Linked DNA regions of Arabidopsis thaliana. The protein of the gene in region 1 purifies or fractionates together with the protein of each later gene. This does not show direct contact. Each region holds a gene or a part of one and is shown on either strand. Other genes may lie near its edges.

The links.
Region 2: the proteins of AT1G33670 (region 1) and scpl35 fractionate together in Arabidopsis thaliana (co-fractionation; one large-scale study listed by BioGRID). This does not show direct contact.
Region 3: the proteins of AT1G33670 (region 1) and AT1G78820 fractionate together in Arabidopsis thaliana (co-fractionation; one large-scale study listed by BioGRID). This does not show direct contact.
Region 4: the proteins of AT1G33670 (region 1) and AT1G78830 fractionate together in Arabidopsis thaliana (co-fractionation; one large-scale study listed by BioGRID). This does not show direct contact.

Annotation. Positions count from the first base shown.
Region 1 is NC_003070.9:12,200,359-12,204,029, forward strand, and holds AT1G33670 (Leucine-rich repeat (LRR) family protein), read left to right. Parts: upstream 1-1,604; coding exon 1,605-2,972; 3' UTR 2,973-3,050; downstream 3,051-3,671.
Region 2 is NC_003076.8:2,655,311-2,662,043, forward strand, and holds scpl35 (serine carboxypeptidase-like 35), read left to right. Parts: upstream 1-1,743; 5' UTR 1,744-1,925; coding exon 1,926-2,199; intron 2,200-4,124; coding exon 4,125-4,232; intron 4,233-4,333; coding exon 4,334-4,522; intron 4,523-4,651; coding exon 4,652-4,740; intron 4,741-4,849; coding exon 4,850-5,143; intron 5,144-5,246; coding exon 5,247-5,383; intron 5,384-5,513; coding exon 5,514-5,606; intron 5,607-5,703; coding exon 5,704-5,962; 3' UTR 5,963-6,127; downstream 6,128-6,733. Other genes in the region: AT5G08250 (Cytochrome P450 superfamily protein), read right to left, coding at 1-471; AT5G08270 (C5orf35), read left to right, coding at 6,437-6,481. UniProt on the Arabidopsis thaliana protein: Probable carboxypeptidase.
Region 3 is NC_003070.9:29,633,448-29,637,710, reverse strand, and holds AT1G78820 (D-mannose binding lectin protein with Apple-like carbohydrate-binding domain-containing protein), read left to right. Parts: upstream 1-1,779; 5' UTR 1,780-1,942; coding exon 1,943-3,310; 3' UTR 3,311-3,615; downstream 3,616-4,263. Other genes in the region: AT1G78830 (Curculin-like (mannose-binding) lectin family protein), read left to right, coding at 1-570.
Region 4 is NC_003070.9:29,636,318-29,640,530, forward strand, and holds AT1G78830 (Curculin-like (mannose-binding) lectin family protein), read right to left. Parts: upstream 2,457-4,213; 5' UTR 2,192-2,456; coding exon 824-2,191; 3' UTR 501-823; downstream 1-500. Other genes in the region: AT1G78840 (F-box/RNI-like/FBD-like domains-containing protein), read right to left, coding at 2,973-3,275, 3,368-3,508, 3,593-4,135, 4,168-4,213.

The DNA.
Region 1 (3,671 bases):
TCATCAGAATCATCACACTACTACGAAATTCACTGATTCTACTAAATTGCTAAGAGATTGATTACTATAAATGGATCAACAAAGAAACCCGAAGAAAGGGGTTTGTGATTCCTAACCTTATTTTGCTTAATCACAAGGATTTGTAATCAAGATTCAATTCCACAATTATGTTCTGAATAATCGGAAGAGAATTATGAAGTAAACGAAACAACCGATGAATCAAAAACAAACTTGAAATCGATCAGAATTGGGTTTATTATATACCTGATTGTTTGCGTAATATCGGAGGGTTTAAACCGAGTCAATCACACGCTCCTCTTGACGGCGGTGACAAGGATTTCCTCCCCAATTTCGTTTCTCATCCCCAGATTCATCACCGGCTGGAGCCGAAACAAGTTGATTCCGAAGAATTTGATAATTTGAATTGTAGAGACGAAGTATTTTTTGAGTCGGTGATGAAATGAATGGAACCAGAAAATTATATTTGTAGTGAGTGTTCTAAAGCTAGTTGATACGAAAATACTAAAATACCCCGTTTTATTCCGTTAGACCCATTTGGATTTGGATTTGAATTATAATTTTCCCCCTAATTTGAAAATTTTAGTCCGTTAAAACTTAAAACAAAAATTCAAATTACATATTACTTATGGTTGGATGTGCACTTTACTTAATTTGAGAATACTACCACGAGTGAGTTCATTAAGAAATTCTTAAGTATTACAACCCTTACCTTCATTCTAACGAGAACACAAAGCAATAACGAACACAATAACAATTAGATGATTCATTTTTTGGATCTAGAATATTTCTTAAAGTACAATGAATCCAAAAGCTTAATGTTCATAAGCCAACAAATAAATTTGAACAAAAATATAAACCAAAAATGAACCTATGGCGGGAGGAGCATTTCCTGTCGAAAACTAAGGTTAATCAGTAATATAATGATCAATCCTTTCTCTCTCTCAAACTAAGATTCAAAAAGCTCCAATGGAGTAACCTGAAAGACAAGAAGCGCATAAGAAAATTGGTTGAGGAAATGAATCATAAGAAGTAAATCGATTAGACAGACCATTATAGAGATTCTGCGACTATCTCTTAAACAAACCAACGTCTTAAATCTCTAAACTCACACTTAAACAATATGAAAACAACCTCTCCAATACTCTGATAACAAACCATGCCTCAAAATCGTGTTGCTTGTATTCTACGGAACAGGCATTATACTATTATAAGATCAAAATATATTGAACAAAATCTCGCAGCTTAATTTAATACTTAAAAAATCACAGGTCAATAAGATATACAAGAGGGATTACCAATATCACGCTTACCATTCCAATGACATGTGGTCAAGTCTTAAGATCGAGATTCACATTGATATCAGATCTCTTTATTTTGTTAATTAAGGTCTATATCATGGAGTATCTCTTTTACCGACAGAGAGTTGATTAAGCCTGTCATGGGAATATAAAATGATAATTGTCATGCTGTAATTACGGACACCACTAACTATGCAAGAAAAAACACGTTTGAAAATGAATAGAAATGAAATCAGACCTCGAGTCGACGACACTTCAGTCACTTCTCTCATTCAACAAAACACCATGAACTCTTGTTCCTTCCCTCTCTTCCTCTTTGTTATCTTTCTCCGGTGTTTAAGTTCCACGGGAGCTGCCACATGTCATCCTGATGACAAAGCGGGTCTTTTAGCTTTCAAATCGGGTATAACCCAAGATCCTTCGGGTATTCTCAGCTCATGGCAGAAAGATATTGACTGCTGCTCCTGGTACGGTATCTTTTGCCTCCCTACGATTCATGGCGACCGCGTCACCATGATGGCATTAGACGGAAATACGGATGTTGGTGAAACCTTTCTCTCCGGCACTATCTCACCGTTGCTCGCCAAACTCCATCACCTCAACGAGATTCGCCTCACCAATCTTCGAAAGATCACTGGATCTTTTCCCCACTTCCTCTTCAAATTACCAAAGCTAAGGACTGTTTACTTAGAGAATAACCGTCTCTCTGGTCCCCTTCCTGCCAACATCGGTGCACTAAGTAATTTGGAAATTTTGAGTGTGGCGGGAAACCGGTTCAGCGGTTCGATCCCAAGTTCGATGTCTAAGTTAACTAGCTTACTCCAACTCAAGCTCAACGGTAACCGCCTTTCTGGCATCTTCCCAGACATATTCAAATCCATGCGGCAACTTCGATTTCTTGATCTCTCCAGCAACAGATTCTCTGGAAACCTTCCTTCATCGATTGCATCTCTTGCACCGACTCTTTCTACCCTTGAGGTGGGCCATAACAAGCTATCGGGGACTATCCCGGACTATTTATCGAGATTCGAGCTTCTCTCCGCATTAAATCTCTCTAGGAATGGGTACACAGGGGTCGTGCCGATGAGTTTTGCCAATCTGACCAACATTATCTTTCTTGATCTCTCCCACAATCTGCTTACCGGTCCATTCCCTGTCTTGAACTCATTAGGCATCGAATATCTACATCTTTCGTACAACCGATTTCACCTTGAAACAATCCCCGAATGGGTGACCTTGTCGAAGTTCATCTACTCATTGAAGCTTGCAAAATGTGGGATCAAAATGAGCTTAGACCATTGGATGCCAGCAGACACCTCTTTCTACCATCACATTGATTTTTCGGAAAACGAGATCTCAGGGAGTCCAATAAGGTTTTTTAACCAGATGGATTTTATGGTGGAGTTCCATGCACCGGGGAACAAACTCCAGTTCGACTTGGGGAAGCTAAAGTTTGGAATCTTCTTGAAAACCCTGGATTTGTCAAGGAACTTGGTATTTGGGAAGGTACCGGTGACGGTGACCAGACTGCAGACACTAAACTTGAGTCAAAACCATCTTTGCGGAAAGCTTCCATCGACAAAGTTCCCGGCTAGTGCTTTTGTCGATAACAAGTGTCTTTGCGGCTTTCCACTTTCTCCTTGTAAAGCTTAGGGACAAGAAAAGCACAGTTTTGTATTTGGATTTATTATGACACGTAGCTCCAAATAAAATTTGTGTGACTATAATAAAGTGATTTAAAGATCCCAATGCCAATAAGCTCCATTACAACTATAGTGAATGTTAGTGAAAGTATGATTTCAACCCTTATGCACTATTTCCATGCAGTCGTTATGTTGGTACAAAATTGAGGATCTGAAGGCATTTGAAAGGTCACCAAACAGTCTCTCTGAGAAACATGAAGCGAAGAAATTCATATTTAGTCAATAGAACCACTGAGCCGGACAATGATTACCTCAACATGATACGAAATGATTAAATTTAATGAGTAGTAGTAGTATTCTAATACAAATGTTCCGATTTATGTAACGTTGGCTTGTATTAATGATGCATATGTTATGCTTGAGTGTTCTTATAAATTTGGTCGAACACTTGAAATGTAAACGGATCAGATCTTGTATTTAATTGTGCATGGGCTAAATTAAATACTTCTCTTTTACCTTTTTTGCCAATGAAAAGTTGAATAATAGTAAGGTCCGATAGGCCCATTAAAAAGCCCACAAACCCTTTAATCAGCTATATTCCCATTCCACTGCTCCCAAGTCGTCACCACCACTTCCCGTCCTCTCTCCAGTCACTGTTTCCGAAGCCCTAAAGTTTTCAAGGTCGCCGATTAAATCACCAAAGGAGGCG
Region 2 (6,733 bases), on another chromosome or scaffold:
TTGCCACGTTCCGTCATCGGTGTTGAAAATCCCGTCTCCGAGTAGATCTTGCATGGTCTCACGGAAGTAAGAACCCTTTGGGTAGATAGAGAAACGGGTCTTGAGAAGATGCTCAACGTTTCTTGGGTCGCAGGTAACAACGCAGTTGAGGGTGCTAAACCAAGGACCTCTAAACCGGAATGTCCCGTTTTGGCTGATAAGAACATCAGACAGCCATTCGTATATGTTGCTTCGTACCGCGGATATCAACGAAGGAAGCATGCCAACCAACGGCCAAACGGGCATCCCTTGGTGTTTCTTCTGGCGCAAGGAATGTATTGTCGCAAACACGAAAAAGGCAATAAAGAGCTCAAGAATCTGAACATCTCTCAGGGAAAACAGCCTCCTTGAAACCAGAAGTTCGTCGCTTCCGAAACAAGAAGAGGACACGGCAGTAGCCGTGAGATTATAAGAAGAAAAACTAAGATTCATAGTGACAAAGAAGGAACAAAGAAACAGAGTGTGTATAATTTTTTTGCAGAGAGAAAGAGAAAGAGAGATAAGAAATAATGAAGTTGTTAGTTAATTTAGTAGGTGAAGAATGTGAAATGAGGGAAGAAGGATTTAAGACGCATAAGTTTCGTGTTTGGCTCTCAATGTGAAATTGGGTTTGATTTGGTGAGCTAAAAAAAGTTCGTTGCTCTTTTCTAACGGTCTTTTAAATTTGTGTGGCTCTTTATTCTCGTGTTTTGCTATGTTTTCGTTTTGGTCTTTTGAAAGGACGAATCTTTTGGAGGGGATTAACTAGAAAATTAGGAAAATTAGAATTAGGGTTTTAGACTTGAGGATTGTTGATAAAAGAGAAATTGACAGGTGGGTAGTGACGGATCACCTAAGTTCTTGTTTATTTGTTATACACTTTATTTTATTTTGTCAAACAACTTGTTTAATTTATACGTGTGGAAATTGGAATTGGAAGAATATTAATAGTGAGTAATTCAAATAAACAGAATTTTTTTGGATACTACTGTACTATTTTAAACCTGGCGGTGAAGCCGTTGTTGTTTGAATTTAGGTTATCTGCATATATCTGGTGAATAATTGTTTTCGAACAATTTGGGCTTAGAAAACATATGGGCCTATCAATAAAGTATCGGGCCTTTGATATATATAAAATTTCATTAACCTCATTATTAATGTATTTTGGGCCTTACAGGCCCTCTGGCCTCTTCTAGGTGACTATAGCATCAATAAATGATTCTCATTAAGCCGCCAATTTCTCTGGCCTCTTCTAGGTGACTATAGCATCAATAAATTATTCCCGAGACAATTGCGAATAAACCACTTTCTTTGGAAATTATCATTGAGATCAACATAAAACATAAGCTTTGTTTATATGACAATGCTGTTGTTTTAAAGCTCTACGGTAGTACTACACATGTAATTTAATGAATTTTAATTGATTTCTAAACAGTACGAGCAATTTGTGTGTTGAATTCAACTTTGATTATATGGTTTATAAAACCTTGTTTTGGGAGATGAAATTCTGAATTAAGAAAAATAAAGAAGAAAGCATTTAATTTGCCGATGGCTCCATCTCCATAGCCATGTGGTTCAGTCTCCGATGATGACATCTCAAGCGTTGAAATTCAATTCCATCTTTCTGTAAAAGGTGAGAAAATTGGTAGTGAACCAACCATGTTATCGGAGACCGTGGAGGCACATTACAAGGAAATGATTATGAAATGTGTTTATTGTTATAACATTTTCACGTGAGTATCAAAAAAAAAATCTCATGAAAAATAAAAGACTTTTAAAGTTTTTTTTAATATAAAAAAAGACAGTATAAAGTAGAAGAAGTGGGGGCGTTTTCTCATCTGCTCTTCATTTCGATAAATAATTGAAAAGAACAAAAGAAACAAAAGAGACGAGAAAGAGTTTTGGCGATGAAGAAGAACGCACTTTGGCTACTGTGCATTCTGGTGTTACCGGCGATAGCCTGTGGTAGGAAACCGGAGAAGAAGGTAACAATTTCATCCTCTGGGAGGAAGGAAGATGACCTTGTAACCGGTTTGCCCGGCCAACCACCGGTTAACTTCAAACACTACGCCGGTTACGTGAATCTGGGGCCTGAACAGAAGCAAAAGGCACTTTTCTATTGGTTCTTCGAAGCTCAACAAAACTCTTCTCGTCGTCCTCTCGTCCTTTGGCTCAATGGAGGTCAGTTTCTCTTCCTCTCTCGCTCATTTACATAAAGTATATTTTATTTGAAGTAGTAATACAAACTTATCATTGTTCTCAATTGGAATTTTCATTCGAAACTTCATTGTTTCTGCGGTTTTACAAATATGTTTACCAATTTTAAAATGATAGCACCTTTTTTGAAACGGATGATGTGATGATTATGTTTGCAATAAAAAAATCAGTGTAATGAAAGATTAATGAACTCTCAAGCTCGTGCCTCGTGGGCCATGGTAATTAGGTTAATACATATGTCTAATCACACCATCACGTATTGACCACAAAACTCTGTGCCTGCAGGCCGTGATGTTGGGAAAATAATAGATAAAACTTGCACGAAAAAGAAAAAGAAAAAACACTAAACATAGAGAAATGTTTTCGGCAGTTGTATTTTCTTGGATACATAATTGAATTTGGACTAAAATTTTAATTATTTATATAGCTAACTCTTAGAAAACATCAAGTTGTGTACATTGTCCTACCAAACTCCATCGTCTGTCTCCTTACCCTGCCTTGTAACTTGCCAAGCAGTTCCTTTCGTTTCAGTAACAATAAAATTTTACTGTAATTGTATCGCAACGAGATAGTAAAGGGTCGTTTCGATGCAGTTGTTTTTGTTTTAAATTTTCCAAAAATTACAAGTCTATCAAATAGCCAAAACTTAAAGTAGTCTATTGTTTGTACAGTTATATATCGCTATTCTTAATAATCTGTAACTTATAGATGCCGTGTATGGCTTGATAAAAATAGCCAGAAACACCATTAAGTGATACACTGATACTATTCAACATTTTTGTTCCTTACTATTGCTTGATGGAGAAGTGATAACAAATCTGATACAGTTGGGAATGCCGACAAATTTTAATTGCCTACTTTAATAATATTTCGTTTTGTGGAACGCACTTCAACAATCTGTAGTCTGTATACGGTGGAACGAGTAGGTTCTTGCCTCTTCGGGACAAATATAGTCCAGTCCTCGTTTTCTTAACGTGAAATCTCAAAACCATAGCTTAAAACAAGTTGTATTTGAAAATGAGCTTCGATCTAATTAAGTGAACAAAAGTTATTCACAAAAATTAAAATTAACCTGTTTAAATACATCATATTTTTTCGTGAAGATTCAGTGAAATAAAACACTATACTATAACCCAACAACATATTTGGAAAAAATATCAACGAAGTCGTATATGGTCCGGCTCTCTGACAGATATTGGACTTGTATCATTCAATCAGTGTCCTTTTTGTGTAACATTCAATGTCCAAATCTTGTTTCTAGAGTGAGTAAAGATCTTTTGTCTGTTTCTTCTTTTTCTCTCGGTAGTTGTACATTCAATTTAACGAATTTACTTTATACGGTTTGTCTTTTTTCCCACACGGTTCATTCCAATATTAGGATATTTAGGGATACGAGAAATATCAACCTAGTCTTTTTTATTGGGGCTAGAAATCGGATAAGATGTTGAATATTCAATTATACACTTAGAAATAAACAAAAAGCTATGTCTAATAATAATGTGGAGTTGTGTACATGTCTAGTTTGAACAGAAAGATTGAAATTTGTTAATAATGAGGTATTACCTTTATAGGATTTGCGTGATTGAAGGGTACACACGAATCCAATGTAATCAAGAGCAATAGCAAAATCTTTAGTTATTTAATTTCTGTATACGAAAATGATATTTGAATCTTGATAGACAACTCGGGACAAAATACTGACGTCTAGCTAGCTAGTCTCATTAATTTTATTTTTTCTCGACAAATTTAGTTGTTTAGTTTTGGATTTTCTTGACAAATCTAGCGATGGAATTGAAAATAGCAATTTTCTTTAGTGAATTGTATTATTACATATTTGGTGAAACTCTTAAATTATTTTCATCAGTTTAACTAAAATCCAAAATATGCAGGACCGGGTTGCTCATCAATAGCCTATGGAGCTGCACAAGAACTAGGCCCTTTTCTTGTTCACGACAACGGTGGCAAACTTACCTACAATCATTTCTCTTGGAACAAAGGTAAAATGAATTATTACCATACTATCAGAAACATTTGAATTCTTTAGCTAACATGTATACTAATATTAACCGTGGTTACATTAAAAAAAATGTTTGTGCAGAGGCCAATATGTTGTTCTTGGAAGCGCCGGTTGGGGTTGGGTTCTCGTATACCAATAACTCAATGGATCTTCAAAAGCTTGGAGATGAAGTTACTGCATCGGACTCTCTTGCTTTCCTGATCAACTGGTTCATGAAATTCCCCGAGTTCCGATCCAGCGAGTTCTACATCTCTGGCGAGAGTTACGCCGGTAAGTGCTTTATCCGATTTTAATTCTTGATTTATGAATTATATCACCTAATATAAAAGAATTAATCTTGTATATTAATATTATATAAAACAAAGATTGAATCACATGCTTTTGATCTTCTTTTCTCAGGTCACTATGTTCCTCAGCTCGCGGAGGTAATTTACGACAGGAACAAGAAGGTTACGAAAGACTCTAGCATTAATCTCAAGGGATTCATGGTATGCACTCTATATATATGTATACTACTAGTAAGGTTACTTGCGAAACGAGGAAGCAACGTTTCTTGTGCTATAAGTAAACATAAAAGGTATTCGTTTGATGTTGCAGATAGGGAACGCGGTGATCAATGAGGCAACAGACATGGCAGGACTAGTGGACTACGCATGGAGCCACGCTATAATATCGGACGAGGTCCACACCAGCATCCATGGCTCGTGCAGTTTTGAGGAAGATACCACCAACAAGACCGAACAATGCTACAACAATTTCAAAGGGTTCATGGATGCTTACAATGATATCGATATATACAGTATCTACACTCCCGTTTGCCTCTCCTCTTTGTTGTCATCTTCTCCAAGAAAACCTAAAATCGTCGTGTCTCCTCGTCTCCTTACTTTTGACGTACGTAATCTACAATACAATATAGTATCATTGTAACATAATGTAATTACCATAATCTCTCTTCTTACTTTTTCTTACCAATTCTTCTCTTTTGATGGTTTAGGATTTGTGGGACAAGTTTCCGGCCGGGTACGATCCATGCACTGAAAGTTATGCCGAGAATTACTTTAACCGGAAAGATGTGCAGGTTGCACTCCATGCGAACGTCACCAACCTTCCTTATCCGTACTCTCCTTGCAGGTTAGTCCTCCTTACGTTACGTGGTACTAACTAAAATTAATAGCTAGCTAGAGACTTTGTATGTTAAGTTTAATGTCATGTTTCTAATGAACAAAGTATATATATATATGATCTTGTGGGTGTGATTCAGCGGAGTAATAAAGAGATGGAGTGATGCTCCATCCACCATGATTCCCATCATACAAAAGCTTTTGACGGGTGGCCTCCGTATCTGGATCTATAGGTATCTATATCTTTCTTTAACTGTTTTAAAAATTACGTGAAAAATTCATATATATTGTCAATTAGTTTAATGTTCACTGGTTCAATGTTGGCTATAGTGGAGATACGGATGGGAGAGTTCCGGTAACATCTACACGTTATAGCATAAAAAAGATGGGACTTAAGGTCGAGTCACCGTGGAGGTCATGGTTCCACAAGAGTCAAGTAGCTGGATGGGTTGAGACTTATGCCGGTGGACTAAATTTTGTCACGGTGAGAGGAGCCGGTCACCAGGTTCCGGCCTTGGCTCCGGCGCAATCTCTCACATTATTCTCTCACTTCATTTCTTCTGTCCCCTTGCCTTCAAAACGGTTCTGATATCAGTACCGTCAAGTCATGATGGCAAGTTGTTGTTGTTGTTTTGGAACCTTCGTTTAGCACTCTCCCAATTGATTTTATGAATTTCAATTGATGAATAAAGATTCTTCAACTTTTAGTTATATAATAAGGCTTTTACCTTTCTACGCACGTTTTTCGTTGTTTAATAATTTCCAGTATTTCAATTTTCAATAATCAACAAATCAGTAGTCTACTTCATTAATTTTGGAACTCAATGAAAATTTTCAAATTAATTTTAATATGAATGAAATAAATTAGGGGGAGACGGCCCTTAAGGCCCATTATAAATTTAGAGGGCCATTAAGGCCCATTAACACAAATTAAACCCAGTCATGGAGCTGAGGCAGTAGCGTTCGTTTTTTTGGAATCAATCACCGAAAGAGATCTTTCAACTGAAGCACCTGCGATTCATCTTCTTCTCTGCCCGTCGTTTCAACGTGAGGAGAAAAAAGAATGGCGTTTGCAAAAATGATGTTTCTTTTCGGAAAATTTCAGCAGGTGAATATATGAAGTTCTTATCTTCTAATCTGACTTATTTTTGAAACTTCCTCTCTGGTACGTGTTTTTTGATGTTGGGTATGAAGAAAGTTCGAGGCTTTTCAAAGGATTTAGTCTTCACTGTAATATGATTCCTGTGACTATATTTTGTAGCTTGTATAGACTTCAGAACATATGTGAGTACTTGAAAATGATTGAATTCTCAATGATTTGCTTTCTGTCCATAAAATGTAATTTGAAGTTGCTCATACG
Region 3 (4,263 bases), about 17 Mb from region 1:
CGGTTACTCCAAGTCAGACCAATCGGAAGCGGAGGAGGAACTTTAAATCTGAACAAAATCAATTACAACGGAACGATTTCGTATCTAAGACTCGGATCTGACGGGAGTCTCAAGGCTTACTCGTATTTCCCAGCAGCTACGTATCTCAAATGGGAAGAGAGTTTCTCATTCTTCTCCACTTACTTCGTCCGTCAATGTGGCTTGCCGTCGTTTTGCGGCGATTACGGTTACTGCGATCGTGGGATGTGCAACGCGTGTCCTACACCAAAAGGATTACTCGGATGGAGTGATAAATGCGCACCACCTAAAACGACGCAGTTTTGCAGCGGAGTCAAGGGTAAAACTGTCAATTATTATAAGATAGTCGGTGTTGAGCATTTTACTGGGCCTTATGTTAATGATGGACAAGGCCCAACTTCTGTGAACGATTGCAAGGCCAAGTGCGATCGTGATTGCAAGTGTTTGGGTTACTTCTACAAAGAGAAAGACAAGAAATGTTTGCTTGCTCCTCTGCTTGGTACACTTATCAAAGATGCCAACACTTCTTCTGTTGCTTACATCAAATATTAGTGTTTTTTTGGGAAAGTTATTTACCGAATTCTTTTTGAATTCTTAGAGATTTAATGAATAATCGGTGTGCTTGTAATGATCCACCGTTGAATATATTGTATTACCTTAAAAAAAAGCCATCAGATGTATTTACTATATATATATAGTACCTTTGAGAATCAAAATACCATGTGAAGCATTATCATTATTTTGTTGCCTCTGACAAGAGTTTTGTAGTCCACTGGTCCTCCACTTGGAATACCGCTCACTTGGTTCTTAATTCAATTGACTACTGAGGTTTGTAGATGGTCGTTGGGACTCATACTGTCAAAAGAACAGCAAAAATTTTGTCACTTCTCCAACTCATTGGGCCTTTAGGCTTTGTCATAGCCCAATAATTCTATCTTAATCGGACAAACCGTGTGGTCCACTTCCCTTCGTACATATTTTTTACAAGTTTTGTGGTCTTACTTTTTACTTTTTAGCATTACATGGGATAAAAAGTGAAAGCTTGCCCAGCAGCTATGCATCCATCAACCATCAAAATCTGACTCACAGTACTGTTTTGGATGTCTGAACTTACATAAAAGATTCGATCATCACAAGATGATTATTGTGAGTTTTAATTTTTTTACTGTTAAAGCTGGCGGAGATGTTTTTATATCTGTTAGCATTATCTCGGAAATTTGTATATATATATACGACAGTCTAGTGGCGGGTCAGATAAAGGTGGAATGTGTAGTCTAGACTTTAGAATATATAAAATTACTTTATGAAGTATATTTACATACAAGACGGTAAAATCGAGAAATTTATATAGCTAGTTTGGGAAGTGTGGGTACTTAGTTATCCAAATATTCACTAATTTGAGTAGAGATCAAAATGGTGATCGGGTAGATTGCAATCTTGAAAGGATTTTTAGATATATTTTTACAGTTTAAAGTATTTAAACGAGTACATTCTATATTTAAAAACAAGTGTTTAAAGTATGAATCCGATTGGAGAATCTAAATTTTCTTTTGTCAAAAACGATGGTCAACTTTGTCTGAACAATTTTCATGAGATTAGTTATACAAAATTTGTGTAATAAAAACGGATTAACAACAATATATATAATTAGTGTTTTACTCACAACTTTTGTATATACGATAATTTTCGAAAATTCTCAGTAGACATATCTTATCCAAATCATAAATGAGCCATTGGTTGATCTGTATAACGAAGACACGATTTGCAGCTTAGGACCATTCAAAAAAAAAAAAAAAAAAAACTTAGGACTTTCAAACGAATACAGCCCAACGACCCAAAGTTAAGATCTTATATATACACCTAAAGGATATAGAAAATCATCTCACTCTACTACTCAATCTCAGTAAACATAAAGAACACAACCATGCTTAGGTTTGATTACTTACTAATCACGGCACTTGCCATTTCAACTGTTTCGGTTGTCATGGCCCAAGTCCCTCCCGAGAAACAATTCAGAGTGCTCAACGAACCCGGCTACGCCCCATACATCACCGAGTACGACGCGAGTTACCGATTCCTCAACTCACCGAATCAGAATTTCTTCACAATTCCTTTCCAGCTCATGTTTTACAATACAACTCCTAGCGCCTACGTGTTAGCTCTCCGAGTCGGAACGAGGCGTGACATGAGTTTCACGCGTTGGATCTGGGACGCCAATCGCAACAACCCCGTCGGAGACAACTCCACACTCTCATTCGGCCGAAACGGAAACCTTGTGCTCGCTGAGTTAAACGGCCAAGTCAAGTGGCAGACTAACACAGCCAACAAAGGCGTCACCGGATTCCAAATCTTGCCCAATGGAAACATGGTGCTACACGACAAACATGGAAAATTCGTTTGGCAGAGTTTCGATCATCCCACCGATACACTCCTCGTCGGCCAATCCCTAAAAGTTAACGGAGTTAACAAACTCGTTAGCCGTACATCTGATATGAACGGCTCCGATGGTCCGTACAGCATGGTGTTGGACAACAAAGGCTTAACCATGTACGTTAACAAAACCGGTACGCCGTTAGTTTACGGGGGATGGACGGATCACGACTTCCGCGGTACCGTCACGTTCGCCGTTACAAGAGAGTTCGATAATTTAACGGAGCCGTCAGCTTACGAGCTTCTCTTAGAACCCGCACCACAACCCGCTACGAACCCGGGTAATAACCGCCGGTTACTCCAAGTTAGACCAATCGGAAGCGGAGGAGGAACTTTAAACTTAAACAAAATCAACTACAATGGAACGATATCGTATCTGAGACTTGGATCCGACGGTAGCCTCAAGGCCTTCTCGTATTTCCCTGCCGCGACGTATCTCGAATGGGAAGAGACTTTCGCTTTCTTCTCCAATTACTTCGTCCGTCAATGCGGTTTGCCGACGTTTTGCGGCGATTACGGTTACTGCGATCGAGGAATGTGCGTCGGGTGCCCTACACCGAAAGGTCTGTTAGCTTGGAGTGATAAATGCGCTCCACCTAAAACGACGCAGTTTTGCAGCGGAGGCAAGGGTAAAGCTGTCAATTATTACAAGATAGTCGGTGTTGAGCATTTTACTGGGCCGTATGTTAATGATGGACAAGGCCCAACTTCTGTGAACGATTGCAAGGCTAAGTGCGATCGTGATTGCAAGTGTTTGGGTTACTTCTACAAGGAGAAGGACAAGAAATGTTTGCTTGCTCCTCTTCTTGGTACACTTATCAAAGATGCCAACACTTCTTCCGTTGCTTACATCAAATATTAGCGAGATTTATAAACCGAAACCAACGTGAATTCTCATAGATTTAATGAATAATTGGTGTTGTTATAATGCTTCACCGTTTTTGTTTTCGTAGACTCGCGTATTATGCTCAGTCCTAGTCAAGTATGATATTATCAAAATAAAAATGGATGATATTGATGTTCTTCAGATTATCAAAATTGAAATTAATAGTCGATCATTATAATGCGTCCTTTATACAATATTCAATTAATGCTTTTGTTTTGTATAAATAACAATGAGACAACTCGATATTGTTGCACATTTCATAATTTTCTGTTGGTTAATGATTATGCCGTGGGACCATTTTTTCTATGCATACGACTGATTACTGAGATTTTTCTTTTCTTGGTTGAATGAGTATCTGCAGGAAAATTAAAAACTCAAATTTATAAAAAATTAGGAAGAATCATATCCTAGGAGAGTAGGTAGGTAATTGTTGTTTTAAATATAAACAAAGGGAATACTTCTTTTAACCACAAAAGTTATGCTATCATTTTAGAAAGAAAAAACTATTCAACCAACCCTTGAATAATGGATATTCACCTAGTTTATTAGAAATTTTCTAGTAACGATTGGTCAGTGCCTCAGTGGCAGCCAAAAAGGAATATCCTTAATCTTATTTAATTTTGACAACAAATATTTAATACACTCCAATAACATTAGAATTCTGTAGATGACAAAACTTTAAATAAGTAAATGCAAGCGTCCATCGCGGATCTTTGGGATTGGGACCTCCATAGATTTATTTGTCTGGTTCTATTTGAGAGAATCATATTTACAAAATTTAAGGTCCATTGGGCTTTATTTATGGGCCTATTAATTATCGATTTATCCACATTCTTCTTTTGTTTGGTTTTCATCGTTTCCAATTTCCATGCACAAAGAAAACGCTCTTATACGTAAATATATTGGTATTTCTACTAGATCATACTTTA
Region 4 (4,213 bases), about 17 Mb from region 1:
AAGTACCCACACTTCCCAAACTAGCTATATAAATTTCTCGATTTTACCGTCTTGTATGTAAATATACTTCATAAAGTAATTTTATATATTCTAAAGTCTAGACTACACATTCCACCTTTATCTGACCCGCCACTAGACTGTCGTATATATATATACAAATTTCCGAGATAATGCTAACAGATATAAAAACATCTCCGCCAGCTTTAACAGTAAAAAAATTAAAACTCACAATAATCATCTTGTGATGATCGAATCTTTTATGTAAGTTCAGACATCCAAAACAGTACTGTGAGTCAGATTTTGATGGTTGATGGATGCATAGCTGCTGGGCAAGCTTTCACTTTTTATCCCATGTAATGCTAAAAAGTAAAAAGTAAGACCACAAAACTTGTAAAAAATATGTACGAAGGGAAGTGGACCACACGGTTTGTCCGATTAAGATAGAATTATTGGGCTATGACAAAGCCTAAAGGCCCAATGAGTTGGAGAAGTGACAAAATTTTTGCTGTTCTTTTGACAGTATGAGTCCCAACGACCATCTACAAACCTCAGTAGTCAATTGAATTAAGAACCAAGTGAGCGGTATTCCAAGTGGAGGACCAGTGGACTACAAAACTCTTGTCAGAGGCAACAAAATAATGATAATGCTTCACATGGTATTTTGATTCTCAAAGGTACTATATATATATAGTAAATACATCTGATGGCTTTTTTTTAAGGTAATACAATATATTCAACGGTGGATCATTACAAGCACACCGATTATTCATTAAATCTCTAAGAATTCAAAAAGAATTCGGTAAATAACTTTCCCAAAAAAACACTAATATTTGATGTAAGCAACAGAAGAAGTGTTGGCATCTTTGATAAGTGTACCAAGCAGAGGAGCAAGCAAACATTTCTTGTCTTTCTCTTTGTAGAAGTAACCCAAACACTTGCAATCACGATCGCACTTGGCCTTGCAATCGTTCACAGAAGTTGGGCCTTGTCCATCATTAACATAAGGCCCAGTAAAATGCTCAACACCGACTATCTTATAATAATTGACAGTTTTACCCTTGACTCCGCTGCAAAACTGCGTCGTTTTAGGTGGTGCGCATTTATCACTCCATCCGAGTAATCCTTTTGGTGTAGGACACGCGTTGCACATCCCACGATCGCAGTAACCGTAATCGCCGCAAAACGACGGCAAGCCACATTGACGGACGAAGTAAGTGGAGAAGAATGAGAAACTCTCTTCCCATTTGAGATACGTAGCTGCTGGGAAATACGAGTAAGCCTTGAGACTCCCGTCAGATCCGAGTCTTAGATACGAAATCGTTCCGTTGTAATTGATTTTGTTCAGATTTAAAGTTCCTCCTCCGCTTCCGATTGGTCTGACTTGGAGTAACCGGCGGTTATTACCCGGGTTCGTAGCGGGTTGTGGTGCGGGTTCTAAGAGAAGCTCGTAAGCTGACGGCTCCGTTAAATTATCGAATTCTCTTGTAACGGCGAAAGTGACGGTGCCGCGGAAATCGTGATCCGGCCATCCGCCGTAAACTAACGGCGTACCGGTTTTGTTAACGTACATGGTTAAACCTTTTTTGTCCAGCACCATGCTGTACGGACCATCTGAGCCGTTCGAATCAGATGTACGGCTAACGAGTTTGTTGACTCCGTTAACTTTTAACGATTGGCCGGTGAGGAGTGTATCGGTGGGGTGATCGAAACTCTGCCATACGAATTTGCCGTTTTTGTCGTGTAGGACGATGTTTCCGTTGGGTAAGATTTGGAATCCGGTGACGCCTTTGTTAGCTGTGTTAGTCTGCCATTTGACTCGTCCGTCAGCTTCAGCGAGGACGAGGTTGCCGTTACGGCCGAGTGAGAGTGTAGCGTTTTCTCCGACGGGGTTGTTGCGATTCGCGTCCCATATCCAACGCATGGTAGACTCGTCACGCCTGAGTCCGACTCGGAGAGCTAAGATGTAGGCGCTAGGGGTAGTGTTGTAAAACAAGAGCTGGAATGGTGATGTGAAGAAGCTCTGGTTTGATGATTCGATGAATCTGTAACTTGCGTCGTACTCAGTGATGTATTCACCGAATTCTCCTTCGTTGACGACTCTGAATTGTTTCTCCGGAGGGACTTGAGCTATAACCACCGAAACAGTGGCAATGGCAAGTGCCAAGGTTACTAAGATAGCAAATCGAGACATGATTTTGTTTTCTTGTGTGAGTAAAGGAGTGAGATGATTATGTAGAAGATGTATCTTGTGTTGTGGTATATATAAGTTGTTTAGCTTTGTAATATTGGCCGTATTCGTTTGAAAAGTCAAAGTTGCTAATTGCGACTTGACTAATTAAAGAAGAAGAGATCAAGCAAATTGGTGCTGTACAATGGAGCCGATGGCGACTTATGATTTGGATAAGGTTTGTCTAGTGCAGATTATCGAATATTCGTCATAACTATTTTGCTTTCTGAATATCATATAATTTATTTTCTTGTCGAAAGAAAATGATTAATCCTTTTATGCATTTATCTTAATACTATCATTTTCTAGAAGACTTGAAACCGGATTTTCTGCCTATGAGAGGATAATGAGGATTGGTAAAATATCACAGCACCGTCTTGGTAAAATAGACTTGAAGCTGTGAGTTTAGTTAAGTTTTGAAGAAAAAATGTAGTTGTGGATTTTTCTTAGATGCCACTGCGAGGGGCCAAGATTTGGCTTTTTCATTTAAAAGTTTAAGTACACGTATCTATGGGTAGCAGAGATCCATGTATCTTATTCTTTACATGTGCACCAAACGAAACCCAAACAAATAATGGCTGACAAAGATATCTACGATATCAATAATATTGCGGCATCTTGAATTTACCAATCACATAAATCTTAAAATTTTTAAAAATTACGATGTCTAACCGGAACAAGTGTGGAAACTAAAAACACCTAAGAAGCATAACGTTTACACTTGTGCTTGATCCTCACAACAAGTTCAAAAAAACGACGAATGAAGAAAGACTTGACAAGCAGAAGAAAGCTTTGGAAACGCAAGGATTTGCTTGCTAAGTTGAAACCTGTGTTCTTCTGCCCATAAAATGAATCGAAGAGTAAGCTCCTTGACAACTGCTGCATTCCCCAGGATGTATTTGACAAGCTCGGTTTCGACCTGATTCTCAACCGAGCTGGATATCATAGCTGTGCTGTATATCGTAACAAACTTGAGCGATATTAGCAGACACTTAGGCATAGTTGATCTTGAGATATCCAATATATCTAGACGATGATCGTGAACCCACTACATAATATCAAGGACAAGAAACGAAAAACGTAATGAGAATGTATAGTTTAGTTAAGTAATTCAAGAGTTACTTATAAAAATAAAATTACCAACTCTAGAGATTTTAGGTTTGGACAGCTTGCGAGAAACGTTGGTAACAACTTTAAACAAGAGGAGTCCATCGAAACTTCCAAATGGGTTAAGTTAGAGAACTGAGGCAATGGTTCCGAGCTAGAGTAAGCATACATAGCCTAGCAAAAACCAAGAAGAATAAATTAGTAATAAGTTTTCGAGACAGATTAATTCAGGATGAATAGTTACAAAAATATACATACCTCTAGACAACAGTAATTGAGTGCAAGATTTGTGACATTTGATATCCAAGCAATAAATGTACGCAATGTTTTCATCGTCAATGAGTTAATAGGATTAAACTCTCCTTTAGAGATACTAATATCCACTTTGAGCGGAGAACATACACTATTCAGCACAAGGTCTTTAAACCGGTGGATTTGAAGATTCAGAGACTTAAGCCTAGGAGCATCAATCACTAGCCCAATTTTTGTTAAATCTTTGTTCCAATCTAAATCTCTTTTCCAAATACGCATTCTCAAGCTATATAGTGTCTGAGACCGCACTCGTATAACTTCCACATTCCAAACTTTTTCAATGTACAAAACTTGAAGAACTGGGGAGGATGAGATAAGCCTCTCTAGAGCCGCTTCGCTCGAAAACCAAACCGATAGTAAATGCATAGTCTCAAGACGAGGTAGAGAAACGGAGTCAAAACTATCAATGCCTACCTCGACCAGCTTCAAGTGTACCAATGTTTCACACATAGAAATGCTTCCCGGAAGTTTTATGGGACAATAATTGTTCTTATGCAAGAACCAAATATTTTAGCAACAACCACAAGATGCTGAACTCCACGGGTAACCACTGAGTCGACCCACTTG